4 linked regions of the Saccharomyces cerevisiae S288C genome follow. The protein of the gene in region 1 purifies or fractionates together with the protein of each later gene. This does not show direct contact. Each region holds a gene or a part of one and is shown in the gene's direction. Other genes may lie near its edges. The genes, in order: CBC2, RSE1, SNU71 and SNU56.

Region 1 (3,137 bases):
ATAGCCGTTACACTATATCGGACAATAATTGGACAGAAAATTTTGTTAAAGTGTCAGCCTAATCGGCGTAATACGTATATATGTATATTATCTGCATATTATTACGATAATATACAACAAAACGGATTAAAACAATCGGTATATTTCAATTTGATATTTGGGATAAGGTAAAATAAAAACCGAAGATCAGTAAGCTCTTGTTACTTTTTTGTTGGAATAGAGGATCAAGAAGCATTTATTGCTAGTATCCAAATTATTAGTATATCATCATGTTTTCAAAAAAAAATGATGTAAAAATTGAGAAACAGTCACCAGTCATCATGAAAAGTGCACTGCAAGGATTAATAACGTAATAAAACAAGAACGACAGTACATAAACGAAAGAAGAGATAACTATATTATTGTATAGAATTATCGATTCTCTTTTAGAATTCTTTTATTCTCCAGGAAAACTACTTGTACATTCTGTTTAGCTAATATTGTAGCCTTTAACCACAATAAAATGCACTCCAAGTATAACCCAAAATTCATTGTTTTCAAATTTATATTAATGAGATATTGGTAACCTAAACATCAAAAATATTTTTACTCAAATTCTCTTTTCTGAAAACGCTGAAGGAAATGTGCAGGAAAAATGTTTGGCCATCAACTTTTATTCCTAGTACCACAACTAACGTCACATTCTATCGAGGCAAATGCTAATTGGCAACTAACACTATCTTAACGGTTTGATAATGTCAACACAAAATTCACCTATTATTACAAACGAATCTACCGGAAGTTGAAATGCCTGACAATAATCATACAATTGCATGAATAATTGCGAACAGATGGCAGCAAAGGATGAACTAATCATAATTATACATTGCCGCTGTAGGTTTCCTCCCATAAAAATCCAAATTTCCAAGAAAAAGTTCTTGTGTCTTCATACACTTAATATTGTTATCCTTCTTCAAGACCGGACTATATAAAGAAAAAATTTTGTAATGCTATTATATTTCAACTTCAAATTATTTTCTACTAGTAGACATAATGGAACTTCGCTCTCAGATAATCTATGGCGATAGATGGACAATTGACAATCTTCTGAAAGAATTTATATAATAAGATGTGACCATGACCTAAACCTGCTCACGCTCATGAAAGGATACAGGTAATTTGGCGAAACATTCCCAAGCTTCGCTGATAGACCTATCCCAGAAAGTGTCTGTTTAAAACTACAAGTATTTGCAGTTTTCGTTATCCAGTTTCGTTCAAGAGCATTAATGCACAAGCCACTTATATTATATAAATTTAAACTTTGGGAAAATATCATACACCTATTGTACCAGTAAATGTTGGAATAAAAATCAACTATCATCTACTAACTAGTATTTACGTTACTAGTATATTATCATATACGGTGTTAGAAGATGACACAAATGATGAGAAATAGTCATCTAAATTAGTGGAAGCTGAAACGCAAGGATTGATAATGTAATAGGATCAATGAATATTAACATATAAAATGATGATAATAATATTTATAGAATTGTGTAGAATTGCAGATTCCCTTTCATGGATTCCTAAATCCTTGAGGAGAACTTCTAGTATATCTATATACCTAATATTATAGCCTTAATCACAATGGAATCCCAACAATTACATCAAAATCCACATTGTCTACAGTAAAAGTATACCACTAATAGATTTGTAATTGGTGTATGAAGTAGTGTATGGTATAAACGTTAATAAGTGCTTATCAAAGTATTACCCGCTTTAACAGTTTTTGTGTTTTTTTCAAGAAAAATATTATATGTATGAATATAGAACATGAGTTTATATGGAGAAAGTGTCTCGACAGCTTTTAAAGTCCCGAAAGGACTAATATCGAATAAAAGTTGCATCCATTAATATACCAATAAATAAAGGGAAAGATGTCCCTGGAAGAATTTGACGAAGTTAAATATGATCATTCAACTAAACGCCTAGATACACCATCAAGGTACCTGCTGCGCAAGGCTAGAAGAAACCCTAACGGGCTACAAGAACTGCGTGAGTCGATGAAGTCATCCACAATTTATGTAGGAAATCTTTCCTTTTATACATCAGAAGAACAAATTTACGAATTATTCAGTAAATGTGGCACAATAAAAAGAATAATTATGGGTTTGGACCGTTTTAAGTTCACGCCATGTGGCTTCTGTTTTATTATATATAGTTGTCCAGATGAAGCATTGAATGCCTTAAAATATTTGTCCGATACAAAGTTAGACGAAAAGACAATTACCATTGATCTAGATCCTGGTTTTGAAGATGGAAGACAGTTTGGTCGTGGTAAGAGCGGTGGTCAAGTCAGCGATGAATTGAGGTTCGATTTTGATGCATCCAGAGGTGGCTTCGCCATTCCATTTGCAGAGCGTGTCGGCGTACCACATTCCAGATTTGATAACAGTAGCTCACAATCTAATACGAATAATTATATCCCTCCTCCTGATGCAATGGGTACTTTCAGACCAGGTTTCGATGAAGAAAGAGAAGATGATAACTACGTACCTCAGTAGAATCAATCAATTTATATCTGAGAAAGATTCTACACACAGATATATATATATATATATATATTATTGTATATATACATACCTACATTATTTTTAAAGGCTTGCATGATGCTGTTATGTAAAAAAAAAAAAAAAAAATCAGTGTAACATAATAGACGTAACACGTTCAATGACATGATAATACTATATATAGTAACGATAAAATGTAAATGGTAATAGATATAATTATATGAATATTTAAGTAATGCATTGATAAGTGATCAATTCATATCAGGGTTGGATAGCTTTTTCAATTCTTCCAGCCTATCAATTAGTTTTTTACGGCGTGTAACGGGGGCATGAGCAAATCTCTTGGATAATTCATAATCCGTGGAGCAGGTTGACGTAGCATCGTACATAGTATTATTTGTGGCAGATAATGTGTTATGATATGCTGAGACGTTTTGAACTCGTTCCACTGGGGTATTATTCGCGTTGTCATTAGGAATTGAGTTTACCAGGGTATAGTAATCACTAAATATTTTGCGTCTTCTCACATTTATGAACCAATTAGAAAGTTGAATCTTGGTTAGCCCAGTTTTGATTAACAACTCCCTC
Region 2 (6,213 bases), on another chromosome or scaffold:
AAAAAGAGTGAAAAAACTAATAAAAACAACGAGAGTAAATAGGATAGTACAAAAATACTAGGAGTAAAAAAAGGCCCTCTAGTAGTAGTAATAGTAATAGTAATAGTAGTAGTACTAGTAGTAGTAGTAGTAGTTAAAGGCTATGGTTGAATAAAAAAAAAGTCTGGATGGTAGTGTTTTGGTTTTACAATTAATTAGATTTTTTCAAATCATTCTTTTTTATACCAAAAGTAGCATCATTGTTTGATGCTTTCTCTTTCTCATCAGCAATTTCTCTTCTGAGCTTAACTAGCGAGGCCAGTTTTTCATCTGGTTCATAAATACCAAACCTTCTAAACCTCCTAATTTCAGCATTCATCTTACCAATATCCCCGTCATACTCTTCCAAGATCTTCTTTAGATTGTTTTCCAGCTCCACAAAGTATTCTTCACTTAAAATGAATTTCCGTTCGGTTTTAATAGCCGTGAAAGTGGAAGCAGTGAACCTATCTTCTAGAGGACTTTGGAAACCCTCTCCAGCCACAAGTTGGATACCTGGTGCTGCAGCTTTCCTAATCGCGCCCGCTCTATAAGCAGCAACTGCACCACCCATCTTATCTATGACATAGTTGTAATAGTTAGTCTGGTAATCGTCGTAAGTAGCTCTCTTAGCACCAATCCAGCCCAGAGAGCGCAAACGTGTCTTTAAGTCAGTAGTGTTGTTATTGCCGCCAGAATTCTTAGCGCCGTTAGCAGAAGGAGAAGTTAAATCTCTCAAACTCCATAACTTGTAAGGATTGAAGCTGATGGGGTTGGCAATGCCTAATTTGAGGAATAAAGTAATTATGCCCACTTTGAAAATGTGCATGACAAAGAAAAGCCATTGAGCTACGAGACTAGAATAGTTTGCCTGAACTTCTTGTTCGAGTTTAGCGGCAATTTCAGGTAAATCCATGTGCTTGGCTACAGGAATCAATAGTCTAGACAATTGATTAGTCAAACAAATACCTGGGGTTGGAGAAATGGCGTCGGGCAAATCGGTATATAGCCAGGCCAACATAATAATGGTGTATACCCATATGTTTTTCTTGGATAGCTTCCACTCCGGAACAACTAGCTGACCAGGCCACAACTGGTCAATAAGCGGCTTGGAGTCATTCAACTCCTCGAGATTTTCTTCGTTATCAGCTTCATAATGGAACATCAAACAACCACCTTCGGACAGGTACCCTGGATGGATAGACTTATAGAACTTTACGGGCTCCTTCTCATGGAAAATTGATGGTCTCAGCACCATTAAGTCCGCCAAACCCGTCTTGGAAGGGAAAATCTTCTTAATTTTGTTATTTATGGTGTCTTCATTTGACACCTGAAACGCATAGTCGTGCTCGACATCTGCGTTAAGTCTAATGTAAATCTCCATGCTTGCAATCGCCCTCTATCAAAACAAAGTCCACCGATCTCTGCTGCCCCTCTCTAAAAAGGAAAACAATGGCACCATTAGCTTCTTTTCTCGCTTTTTTATAATATTTTCCATCATTAAATGTGGGGAGGTGGCAAAATGGCAGTAGTAAGCTTGTCGCCCCACACGGCGAAGATGCGTAAACTATTTGGGCAAGCTAGCACAACGATGGCTTATGACGGTTTAAAACGAGAGGCTGAAAGAAGAACAAGGAGTGACCATAACATAACAATGGTTGCTAAAGATGATGAGCTATACTTGTACCATCTTACTTTAAAGAAACAGACGAATTTCGTGCACTCCTGCATCGGACACTTCGTCGATCTGGAAGCAGGGTCCAAGCGTGAGCAGTCGCAATTGTGCGTAGCTACTGAGACGCATTTAGAACTTTATGATACTGCAGATGGGGAACTAAAGCTTATTGCCAAGTTTCAAAACCTGTTTGCGACGATAACCTCGATGAAGTCGCTGGATCTGCCGCATTCAGGGTCAAGGGCAAAAGCTTCCAACTGGCCCACTTTTCTAGCGCTAACTTCCGATTCTGGTAACCTAAGTATCGTGCAAATCATTATGCATGCAGGTGCTCTTAGACTTAAGACTTTAGTGAACCAGCCATTGACGAGGACCACCCTTCGAAGAGTCTCTCCCATATCATACATGGAAATTGACCCTAATGGGCGTTGTATCATTCTCTCATCTGTCGAACAAAATAAATTGTGTTTCCTCGTTGATTATGCTCAAAAATTGAGGATTTCGTCTCCATTGGAAATCATCAGACCCCATATGGTAACGCTGGATATGGCAGTTGTTGATGTAAATTTCAATAATCCATGTTTTGTTACCTTAGAAATCGACAATGCCGCTACTCAACTATCAGTACACTTGATATTTTATGTCCTCGAGTTGGGTTTGAATCACATCGTCAAGAAGGCAGATTATTTAGTTAACCCATCTGCCAATTTCGTACTGAGTTTGCCAGATCTATCGCGATATAATATAACAACTTCGCTAAGCGACAACAACTATGATGCTGACTATGATACCCTTTTCAACCCTTTTGTTGTCATAGGCTTCGAAAATCATATTCTGGTAAAGGATATGAACGGATTTTTCAGCCTGAAAGTGGAAATACCCAAAAGATCTATCACAAATAGCCGTCATAAAAATGTAACAATCATATCAGGCATAGTGCAGAAATTGAAAAATGATTTTTTCGTACTTTTACAATCTAACCATGGCGATCTTTTTAAGTTAACTGTAAGTCCAGACACTAATGATAGAAATAGACCTTTAGTTCAATTGTCCTACTTTGATACAATCCAAAATTCACACCAATTACACATTTTCAAAAACGGTTATCTTTTTGCACTATCTGAAATGAATAACAACTTTCTTTTCCAGTTTGAGAAACTTGGTGTAGAGAAAAATGATTTTTCTAATGTTTTAACCTCAAAAGATCCAAATAAGTCGCTAGTTTTCGAACCATCCATAAAGTTGCAGAATTTGAGCATATTATCGCAACAATTGAATTTGAACCCTTCAATAAAATCTCAAATTGTCAGTGATTCGCCACTGTCTATCGCCACTAAACATTTTACAAACAACAAGATAATAACTTTAACAAATGCTGTGAATTACTCTAATTTGATATCTACTAGTTTACCCCCGAACGCAACCAAGTTATGGCTAATACCCGATCCTGCAACAACCGGCGATAACAATACTCTTTTGTTCATAACTTTTCCCAAGAAAACTATGATACTACAAATTGACAACGAGTCCATGGAGGAACTAACACCGGATGAAGCAACGCGTTCAGCTTTCAAGCTCTCTCAGGACACAACAATTCATACATGCCTAATGGGCTCACACTCTATTATCCAAGTATGCACCGCAGAACTAAGACATATCGTACCGACTGGTAAATCTAGGTATTCTAATAAGCTGACTTGGGTGCCACCAGCGGGAATTCGTATTGTATGTGCCACGTCCTCGAAAACACAACTAATTATATCATTATCAAATTACGAATTGGTTTATTTCAAGATAGATGTATCTTCGGATTCGTTAATCGAATTAACCACCCACCCAGAATTGGACACAATGCCCTCTAAAGTTGCGATTGTGCAAGATACGCAGCATGCTGATTTATTAGCCATTGCTGACAATGAGGGTATGATCAAAATAATGTCTCTTAAAGACCAAAAGGAAGATTTTTTAACTGTAATAAGTTTGCAATTAGTTAGTGAAAAGATTTCTGACATGATAATGGTTAGAGATTCCTCAATAGGACAGCTTAATTTGCATGTAGGTTTAGAAAATGGCGTTTACATGAAATTTCATATAGGGGATGTTGACGGATCGTTCACTGACATAAAAAGGCGATTCCTTGGCTTGAAGCCTGTTTCCCTTTCGTATTTGCGTGAGATATCTGTATCACTAAATAATGAGGAAGAAGAAGAAGAAGAAGAAGACGATGATGATGAAAAAGAAGAAGAAGAAATAAATAGTAGTGGAGCTAAATGGATGTCATGCGTGGTTTGCCATTCCTCTTCTACATGGGTAAGCTACACGTGGAAAAATGTGTGGACCATACGGCAGTTAAAGGATCAAAACATGCTAAGTTGTTCCAAATTTGTTAACGCAGATGTTGCAATCAACGGTGTTTGTTCAATATCGAGCTCAGGACGCTTAAATATTGGCAGAGTTTCCAACTTTCCAACTTTGGATAACTGGTTTCACGTTCATGAATCAAGTGTTAACAAGCAAGAGAACGGTGGAGGAGATGAAAGCAATGAAGAGGAAGAAGATGAAATGGAAGAAGAAATGGAAATGTTACAAATATCTACATTCCGACCTCGTACTATTTTATCATTTCCCAATAATCCGAAAAGCATTTTGTTTATTGATAATCACAGTGGTAAGAAACAATGCCGTATATCACTGCAAATTGATGGTGAATGCTTAAAGTTTGGCAGTTCGGATCATTTATACAAGATACTGGACGATATCGATTGCGTTTCCGCTGCTATAATAGATTTCACAAGACAAGCTGATCATTTGATCATTTGTGCTGGCGACAAAAGGCTGTTAACATACAAGATATTAGTTAACAAAGATAAACTATCTTTTGATATTGAATTACTTCACCAAACAGAAATCATTTCACCAATACATGCTATGTTGAAGTTTAAAAACTTCTTGCTGACAGCCATGGGCTCCACTATTGTCCTTTATGGTTTGGGGAAAAAGCAATTATTAAGAAGGTCCGTAACACAGACCCCGGTATCCATAACAAAAATTGTGTCTATGCACCAGTGGAATTATGAAAGACTGGCCGTTGGTGATATACATGAATCTGTCACTTTATTTATCTGGGATCCTGCGGGGAATGTATTTATTCCGTACGTAGATGACTCTGTAAAACGCCATGTGACGGTATTGAAATTTCTAGATGAGGCAACTGTTATAGGCGCTGATAGATATGGAAATGCGTGGACTTTAAGGTCTCCACCAGAGTGCGAAAAAATCATGTCAAATCATGATCCCAGCGAATTATCTAATGGGGCCATCAAGTACCCACTAGACGTCATCACTTTACAGCAGAAATTACCCAATACTTATGATTGCAAGTTCAAGTTTCAACTACTGAACCACTTCTTTGTTAATGATATCATCACTGATTTCCATATCCTGGACAGCCTTTCAAATTCTGATAGACCTGGTTGTATCTATATGGGCTTACAAGGAACCGTGGGATGCTTTATCCCCTTATTATCCAAGGGGAATGTTTTTATGATGGGAAACATTGAGAATATAATGGCTGAGGCGGATGATACGTTTTATTTAGATTATGAATCAAGAAAGAAGAATAACAATATGCGTAAGGAAGACGATGAAGAGGAATCTGGAAGTGTTGTGTTACAAGGACGGCATGGTATAGAGGATGAAATAATATGTGAGGGTTCCTGTTCCATTTTAGGTAGAGACCACCAAGAATACAGAAGCTATTATGCCCCTGTACGTAAAGTTATTGATGGTGATTTATGTGAAAATTTCCTGAGACTTTCCTTGAATGAGCAGGAATTTTTGGCCAAAAATTTAAAGAGTGTACAAGTGGAGGATATAATTCAAACAATCAACGAAGTCAGAACAAATTACATGTAATGATTTTACAGTAATAATACCAAGTATAAAGGCGTGTTAATGTATTTTCTTAATAAATATATGTACAAGGAATATATGATAGCTTTAAATATAAGAAATATAAAATTTCACCTCATCTTTATTTCTGTTTTAAAAGGAAACCGTTTTAATTCATCGATATGCCACCTCTGTACATTTCGTCGATGATTTTACCGTTTTCCAAGTTTTCACATAACAGCTTCAAGTTGTGTGGGTAAACTTTACCAAACCATAATGAATCCAGCTTGTTTTGCATCTTTTCTCTGCCGAATAGTTTATAGAAAATGACATTACCAGCAAAAATATGACCCCCAATATGAGAAATTAAGGCTAGATTATTCTCAGGAAAAAGCTTTTCATCTTGAAATGCTGCAATTATGTCGGGTCCCATTTCTCCACACTTAGCATCTCTCTTATAATGCCCACAGACTAAGTTCCAATCTCTTAGAAAAGTTTCACCCTGAAACCTTGTAAGCTTTCTATGATGCACTTCATGAACCTGTTGGGAAGCCTTGGCCTTACCGCTTAAATAATCCTGGAAGGATAGCTTTGGTGCTTGAATAGCTCCTTCATCTAAAAAAGATGCA
Region 3 (4,441 bases), on another chromosome or scaffold:
GCGGCTTTTCATCAGACGTGGAATGTCAGTTCAATATCTTCTTCCAAACTCTGTCATCCGTTACATCCAAGAGTATAATCTATACATTAATCAAAGTGAACCGGTCAAGCAGGTCTTGGATAGCAAAGAGTGAGTTTATTACAACTCTGATACTGCAGCAGTTCAAATTTACCACTTTCCTCTTCAAGGTGCATAGAAAAAAAGTTCCTGGATGCACGATTTAAAATGTTTACAGCAGAGCAACAATCATGTGAACAATGTCAAACATTTATTTTAACACTTAATAATTATAATATAACCACACCAGCGGTAAGTTTCATAAGGAAAACCTTTCAGACAAACATTCCAGTGAATCGTATACGTAAATCAGCAAAATTAGCTTATAAAATACAGAATCCGAAGATACTTGATCTACTCGCGTTACTATTAATGCGGGTAATGATCTATATTGAATTTTGCACGTCTATAGTAACTTAAAAGTCTTGTAATATTTGAAGTAACAATGCCGTATAATACTGCATAATAGCCCTATCAATCGGAATATACCAAAACATCCTTTATGTCCTGTTCTCAAAATAAGACTTCTGTCAGTCTGGCCTGGCGTGAATGCATATCCATCGCTTCCGTCCTAATTGGCGCGTATGCATCATACAAATACTATAAGCTGTTCAAAACACGCGATATTCCACGTCCAAAAGAAGGCGTTGAAGAACTCATAGGAAACACTCCTCTGGTTAAGATCAGATCTCTTACCAAGGCTACTGGAGTTAACATTTACGCTAAGTTGGAGTTATGCAACCCAGCAGGAAGTGCTAAGGATAGAGTGGCTTTAAACATCATAAAGACGGCTGAGGAATTAGGCGAGCTCGTCAGAGGTGAACCTGGCTGGGTATTTGAAGGAACAAGTGGGTCGACTGGTATCTCTATAGCAGTGGTCTGTAATGCGTTGGGTTATAGGGCACACATTTCTTTGCCCGATGACACATCGCTAGAAAAATTGGCATTACTAGAAAGCCTCGGTGCTACTGTTAATAAGGTTAAGCCCGCTAGTATTGTCGATCCAAACCAATACGTAAATGCCGCCAAAAAGGCATGTAATGAACTAAAGAAGAGTGGTAATGGAATAAGAGCAGTTTTTGCCGATCAGTTCGAAAACGAAGCCAACTGGAAAGTACATTACCAGACCACAGGCCCAGAAATTGCCCATCAAACTAAGGGAAATATTGACGCATTCATTGCTGGCTGCGGTACTGGTGGCACCATAACTGGTGTGGCAAAATTCTTAAAGGAAAGAGCAAAGATACCTTGCCATGTCGTTCTAGCGGATCCACAAGGATCTGGCTTTTATAATAGAGTCAACTATGGCGTGATGTATGACTATGTAGAGAAGGAAGGTACTAGAAGAAGGCATCAAGTTGACACTATCGTAGAAGGGATTGGGTTAAACAGAATCACTCATAATTTTCATATGGGCGAAAAGTTTATTGATGAATCAATACGAGTCAACGATAATCAAGCCATTAGAATGGCAAAATACCTATCGGTAAACGACGGGCTATTCGTGGGGAGTAGTACAGCTATTAATGCGGTAGCCGCTATTCAGGTTGCAAAAACGCTTCCTCACGGCTCAAACATTGTGATTATTGCATGCGACAGCGGTTCAAGACACCTAAGTAAATTCTGGAAAGAAGCTAAAGAAATCGATCACGACGTGTCATTAGAAGAAGTAATAAATATCTAACATAGATGTATAAATCAGTACTGAGTTATCTTCTATTAAATTGTAGGAACAAATATAAAAAAGCAGTTTTCGCTGCTACATTTTTTGCTACTTTCCGTGGTAATGATGCCCGCTAAAAAGTGCAAAAGTAATTAGATAGATCAAGAACAAAAACAGACCAGGACCAAAATCAAGCTCATAAAAGTTCCTTAAGAGTACGTCGATTTACAGAACATGAGGGATATTGTATTTGTATCACCGCAGCTGTATTTGTCATCACAGGAGGGTTGGAAAAGTGATTCTGCCAAAAGTGGGTTCATCCCTATCCTCAAAAATGATCTACAACGTTTTCAGGACTCATTAAAACATATAGTTGACGCCAGAAACAGCTTATCAGAGACACTGCTAAATAGCAACGATGATGGGAGTATACACAATTCTGACCAGAATACTGGTTTGAATAAAGACAAAGAGGCTTCAATAGCAGATAACAATAGTGCTAACAAGTGCGCCACAAGCTCTTCCCGTTACCAAGAGCTCAAACAATTTCTTCCCATTTCCTTAGACCAACAGATTCATACAGTATCTTTACAAGGTGTCTCTTCATCATTTTCTCGCGGACAGATAGAATCATTGCTAGACCACTGTTTGAATTTAGCGTTGACTGAAACTCAAAGCAATTCCGCATTGAAAGTAGAAGCTTGGTCTTCTTTTTCTTCGTTTTTAGATACCCAGGACATTTTTATAAGATTCAGTAAGGTTGATGAAGATGAGGCATTTGTTAATACGCTGAACTACTGCAAAGCCTTATTCGCGTTTATTAGAAAGCTACATGAGGATTTCAAGATTGAGTTACACTTGGATTTGAACACAAAAGAATATGTCGAAGACCGAACAGGAACTATACCGAGTGTTAAGCCAGAAAAGGCTAGCGAATTTTATTCTGTTTTCAAAAACATTGAAGATCAAACAGACGAAAGAAATTCAAAGAAAGAACAGTTGGATGACTCTTCCACACAATACAAAGTGGATACAAACACTTTAAGTGATTTGCCATCGGATGCTTTGGACCAATTGTGCAAGGATATAATAGAATTTAGGACAAAAGTTGTCAGTATAGAGAAAGAAAAAAAAATGAAAAGTACGTACGAGGAAAGTAGGCGTCAAAGACACCAAATGCAAAAAGTTTTTGATCAAATAAGGAAAAACCACTCAGGAGCCAAAGGGAGCGCCAATACAGAGGAGGAGGATACTAATATGGAAGATGAAGATGAGGAGGATGACACTGAAGACGACCTTGCCTTAGAGAAGAGAAAAGAAGAAAGAGACCTGGAAGAATCAAATCGTAGATATGAGGATATGTTACACCAATTACATTCCAATACAGAGCCTAAGATAAAATCCATTAGGGCTGATATCATGAGTGCTGAAAACTATGAGGAACATTTGGAGAAAAATCGCTCATTATATTTGAAGGAGCTATTACACCTTGCCAACGACGTTCATTACGACCACCATAGATCTTTCAAGGAGCAAGAGGAAAGAAGGGACGAAGAGGATAGAGCTAAAAATGGAAATGCAAAGGAACTGGCGCCTATACAACTATCGGATGGTAAGGCCATATCTGCAGGGAAGGCTGCCGCCATCACCCTTCCTGAAGGCACTGTGAAGAGCGAGAACTATAACGCGGACAAGAATGTGTCTGAGAGCTCAGAACACGTCAAGATCAAATTCGACTTTAAGAAGGCTATTGATCACTCAGTTGAAAGCTCTAGCGAAGACGAGGGATACAGAGAGAGCGAGCTACCTCCAACAAAACCCTCCGAGAGAAGCGCGGCAGAGGACCGTTTGCCATTTACAGCAGATGAACTGAACATAAGACTAACTAATCTGAAGGAATCGCGCTACGTGGACGAACTGGTGCGTGAATTCCTCGGCGTCTACGAGGACGAGCTGGTGGAATACATTCTTGAGAACATCCGCGTGAACCAGAGCAAACAGGCCCTTTTAAATGAGCTAAGGGAGACTTTCGACGAGGACGGGGAAACGATAGCTGATAGACTGTGGAGTCGTAAAGAATTTCGCTTGGGGACCTGAAACAGAAGGGCCTTGGCGCGCGTCCCAAAAGGGAAAGGCTCGCTCTGAAACAGGCGAAGACACGAAAACAAATTACCGTTTCGGGGCGTTTTGCAGCAAGTGGCTAGACACGTCGGGCGTTGCCAGATCAAAATAGCACCAGTGGGTGTTTTTTTACTATCTCATCTTCGTGCTGATATATATAACTTTTATACATTTCCATAGTACCAAGTTCTTTATTTCCTGCATTTTTACATTTATAATAGATTACCAAAACTATTCGACCTCACCAAGGGACCCCATAATATTGCTAAAATAATCTTACCTGTTTTTTACCATTTTTTTCTTTTTTTCCAGAAGTAATAAGCTCTCTCTTAGAAGAACTAAAAGCATCTGACTTCGGCTCGTTCCAACCGACCAAAATATTTGTGAAAATATTATTCATTCCTTTAACGACTTATTGTGTATTCTGTTCATCTCTAGCTGGCTTCCACCTCGTTTCCTATTTTTATTGACTTTTCATTAGGCTTCCTAATTATACCCATCTATGCAGTTTCCATTCGCTTGTCTCCTATCGACCCTTGTAATTAGTGGGTCATTGGCCCGGGCCAGCCCCTTCGACTTTATATTCGGCAATGGAACGCA
Region 4 (4,073 bases), on another chromosome or scaffold:
CCAGTGAGGTGTCTACACCCTCAACGTTACATTGGTCTTTGAGAGATATCGGTATACCGTACAAGGGTGGCAATATGGCTGGTCTATTGCTGTCGTAATAGTCAGCCAATCTCAATGCCTCTGAAAACATGATTTCGGATAGACAATTCACTACTTGATGAATTAAAGCAGCCCTATGACAAAATGCAGCTGTTATTTCATGGCAGCTTAACTCTTTTGCTTCCAGTGCCTGTCTCAAGGCCATAATCGTGGAGTGGGTGATCTGATTTTCTGAAGATGAGCATAAATCATCGATATTCTTGATTAAATTTTTTTTATCGTTCTTCAACCTCGTTATAGTTGTGCTGTTTAATTTCCATTCGTCTTTTATCTTACTGTTCAGTTGATCTTTTTTTAATTGAACTTTTTCCTTCCACGTTGAGTGCACAGTCATTGTATAACTTTGGTACCGTGTTGTCTGTCGTTAATAACAGGTCAGAGCGGCTGTCCCTTCCACTCCCCATTGAAAAAAAAGTATTTACTCGACTATATATATGTAATACGCTTTTGAATACTAAAATAATGTTATCAGTAATCTTATCTATTATTATCATATTATCATATTATTAGCTATTATTATATCATGAGCAATTCGCGCGCGCGGCATTTGAGATAGCAAACTTAATCCGTCACACAGATAATACTACAAATTATGACACATAATACTCCCGGTACTCAATAATATCTCATTGTTCGGTCACGAATGTGTCATTGACTATCCAATAGAGAATCAAATACAACGACTACTGGGAACTTATCTCCAGAAAGCCGGCTAAAAGTAGGTGCTTGACATAAAAAAATCTCCCGGGGGCGAGTCGAACGCCCGATCTCAAGATTTCGTAGTGATAAATTACAGTCTTGCGCCTTAAACCAACTTGGCTACCGAGAGTCGATTTCTTGCGAGGTGTTGTATCTCAAAATGAGATACGTCAGTATGACAATACGTCATCCTAAACGTTCATAAAACACATATGAAACAACCTTATAACAAAACGAACAACATGAGACAAAACCCGTCCTTCCCTAGCTGAACTACCCAAAAGTATAAATGCCTGAACAATTAGTTTAGATCCGAGATTCCGCGCTTCCACCACTTAGTATGATTCATATTTTATATAATATATAAGATAAGTAACATTCCGTGAATTAATCTGATAAACTGTTTTGACAACTGGTTACTTCCCTAAGACTGTTTATATTAGGATTGTCAAAACACTCCGGTATTACTCGAGCCCGTAATACAACACGAGGGCTTGAAATATGTTTCTTATAATTAATATCAAACTTGTTTGGAGGTTCCTATGACAGCGCCTCATAACTCGTGTCATCTTTGTACTTGTTAGAGATTGTTGGGACAGATGAACATTAACTTTTCATAAGATATTACAATAGCAATATAAATACTTAAATGGTATACTATAGTTCTAATGGAATTCTAGCATCATCTATTTAGTAGTATTTATATTATTAGTATATTATCGCATACGGTATAAGAAGATGTAGTTTACTTGCTTCAAACCAGTGACCTGAGAAAGGGGTGAATAATTTGATGATTGTTGGGATTCAATCCTTGGTAAAGGTATAATATTATGAATGAATAATGTACTAGAAGCTCTCCCCGAGATATAAGAACCCGCAAAAGAGGATCGGTATTCTTACGTAATAATATTATAATCTCATCTTCCATTTTTTATGTGACATTATCCTATTACATCATGAGTTGTTGCATTTCCTCTTCCATTTGATGACTGTCTTTCAATCTTTATGTCATCTTCTTACACCGCATTTGATAATATACTACTAACACGAATGCTAATAAACAGATGATATTTTGGATTTTTACTCCAACATGATCTTTAATTACTTCTTCATATTTCTTATTCTCATGATTGCTACTGGTTTGTTGTAACCTTTTTTTTATTTGAGCTAGAATTTTCAGCGCGCATCGCAGTGTAGAAAACATTAAAGTTATATTATATACTATAGTAGAAGTTTGACGTTGAGAAACAGTTTCCCTTCGACTAATATAAGCAAAAAATATTAGTATCATGCGCCCAAGAAGGAGAGGATTAGCGTATCATCATACCAAGCCGAAGGGACAACTTTCACAAGGACATTATCCTACGACATCCAATGATGGCCAAAGAAGGAAGGTCGGTAATTCTGAAGCATTCCAATCTTTTGATATATGGAAAAACCTAGATAGGATAAGGTCGACTAAGAAGAATGCAGGGCAATTCATAAAAGGTAGTCTGCTCATACTCCCCATGAGAACGGAAGATAAACAACAGTTCGACGAGTGCATGGATGAATTGCATAAGTATATATCGAAGGATATATTACGATGTTATCCACAGAAAGAGCAGAAAGATGAAGGCATGCTTTTCTACATAGTTTTGAAGGACTTCAATATATTGGACTCTTGCTTCGTATTATCAGTTCTGCTTGCTTTCCAGAAGCGATTATGGATGGCACCATCCGAAAAATCATACTTTAGAGTTCCTAAGAATATTAACTTGACAGGTTCGTTTTATTTGCCCAAGAATATAGAAACTGGTAGAGGCCATATAATAACAAGCTATAGAAGAGAGCAGCCCTCATCCAGTATTGTAGAAGTTGGTTTCAATGTTGTTCCAGATTTTCAACAGTTTCAAGTTAAGGCTTGTCATGTAAGTAAGTTCATGAATGAGCTTTCTAATTTTTTTTCACAAGTAGAATTTGGCAAGTGTGAAGCTAACGTGATAAACTACTTTAAGCGTGAATATAACCGCACTTATTCACAGATATCACTTGCCCTCTACGAACTTCCATTAATTGGCGATGGCTTGTTTGATATAAAGTCGTACATTAGTAAAACCAGGCCAATTATAGAAACATCAAAAGCTCAAATGATTAAACATATTTCTGAAATGAAGGCATATAACGAAATAAGTGGCCTTCAAGGAGATCAATTTCCACGACAACAAAGACCTTTATCGAATTCGCCCTCTTCAAATTCAATTTCCTCTTCTCAAACTATTGAAGCAGGTGCAACTTCATATCAAACACAACCACAGAGACACGCTGTTAATAAGCCATCAAATGTATTGAATTCTTCCAATCGTCATTCCGGGCCAAAAACTTTTGAGGACGGAAGGTATAGTGAAGGTAATAAACCGGGTTTTATGACGCAGGATGAAATCAAACAACATTGCATTGGTACCATAAAAGCTTCTATGGATGCAGTGAAAAAGAAGTCTTCGTATCAGATTCTAAAGACATACGTTAGGTGTCCAAGACAAAATTATATTGATATTGTTTATCAAAATCTAAATGATCTACGATCAAAGACAAATTGTAATATCGTCGTATTGAATCTGAATAATCTTCACGAGTCACAAATGTGGCTTGAATCTTTAAATACAACAAATTACACTATTTTTGCTCAGGCGCCTCACCCAAGTACCATCCGCGTTATTAGTATTGGTGGAGTCGGTGAATATATAGTCAAAGCATTAGAGCTGATATTGAATATATTAGAACATTGAGTCGCATATAACAGTGGAGGTGTATAGATATATTTAAAAAACCTTTTGGTTATTTTTTCTCTTTCATGGCATTTGCTCCGTATGCAAAGCGATAGTTTAATTTAATGTTTTCTTTCAAATGTCATCGCGGATTCAAAGAGCGCACTATTATTATTTGGCAAAAGTTTAAGAGGGAAAATGTTGAAATAGCATGTTCTGCAAAGCGAATTACAGGTTTTGAAGGAGTCTACAGGTAAAGTCTAATAATACAGTGATGTTTGATGGCTTTAGCAACAATAAAGGTAAACGAAGGTCTTTTTTTCGGTTTGGTTCTGAAAGTAAAAACAATGACTCTGAAAAATCCGTTAGAAAGCCATCGGTGCCCTCTACAATAAAGAAATCAACAAATATCGCACGAACTTCGACGGCTGAAACTTCTGCCCCTGATATACCGCCAAGAAGTCCAAATAGGAATGCTCATAGCAGGAGCCATTCTATCCAGGCACCATTACAAAAGGAAACATTAAA

What was found.
Region 2: the proteins of CBC2 (region 1) and RSE1 purify together in Saccharomyces cerevisiae (affinity purification with mass spectrometry, with the first as the bait; 5 studies listed by BioGRID). This does not show direct contact.
Region 3: the proteins of CBC2 (region 1) and SNU71 purify together in Saccharomyces cerevisiae (affinity purification with mass spectrometry; 5 studies listed by BioGRID). This does not show direct contact.
Region 4: the proteins of CBC2 (region 1) and SNU56 purify together in Saccharomyces cerevisiae (affinity purification with mass spectrometry; 6 studies listed by BioGRID). This does not show direct contact.

Annotation. Positions count from the first base shown.
Region 1 is NC_001148.4:210,242-213,378, forward strand, and holds CBC2 (nuclear cap-binding protein subunit CBC2), read left to right. Parts: upstream 1-1,916; coding exon 1,917-2,543; downstream 2,544-3,137. Other genes in the region: CUP9 (Cup9p), read right to left, coding at 2,801-3,137.
Region 2 is NC_001145.3:173,615-179,827, reverse strand, and holds RSE1 (U2 snRNP complex subunit RSE1), read left to right. Parts: upstream 1-1,522; coding exon 1,523-5,608; downstream 5,609-6,213. Other genes in the region: GSF2 (Gsf2p), read right to left, coding at 191-1,402; AIM32 (Aim32p), read right to left, coding at 5,754-6,213. UniProt on the Saccharomyces cerevisiae protein: Involved in G2/M transition. Required for pre-mRNA splicing and endoplasmic reticulum (ER) to Golgi secretion pathway. U2 snRNPs associated protein required for the pre-spliceosome assembly.
Region 3 is NC_001139.9:512,600-517,040, forward strand, and holds SNU71 (Snu71p), read left to right. Parts: upstream 1-1,954; coding exon 1,955-3,817; downstream 3,818-4,441. Other genes in the region: nicotinamide-nucleotide adenylyltransferase NMA2, read left to right, coding at 1-133; MCY1 (putative cysteine synthase), read left to right, coding at 560-1,741; MSB2 (Msb2p), read left to right, coding at 4,344-4,441. UniProt on the Saccharomyces cerevisiae protein: Component of the U1 snRNP particle, which recognizes and binds the 5'-splice site of pre-mRNA. Together with other non-snRNP factors, U1 snRNP forms the spliceosomal commitment complex, that targets pre-mRNA to the splicing pathway.
Region 4 is NC_001136.10:943,167-947,239, reverse strand, and holds SNU56 (Snu56p), read left to right. Parts: upstream 1-2,087; coding exon 2,088-3,566; downstream 3,567-4,073. Other genes in the region: AMD2 (putative amidase), read right to left, coding at 1-433; YDR239C (uncharacterized protein), read left to right, coding at 3,820-4,073. UniProt on the Saccharomyces cerevisiae protein: Component of the U1 snRNP particle, which recognizes and binds the 5'-splice site of pre-mRNA. Together with other non-snRNP factors, U1 snRNP forms the spliceosomal commitment complex, that targets pre-mRNA to the splicing pathway.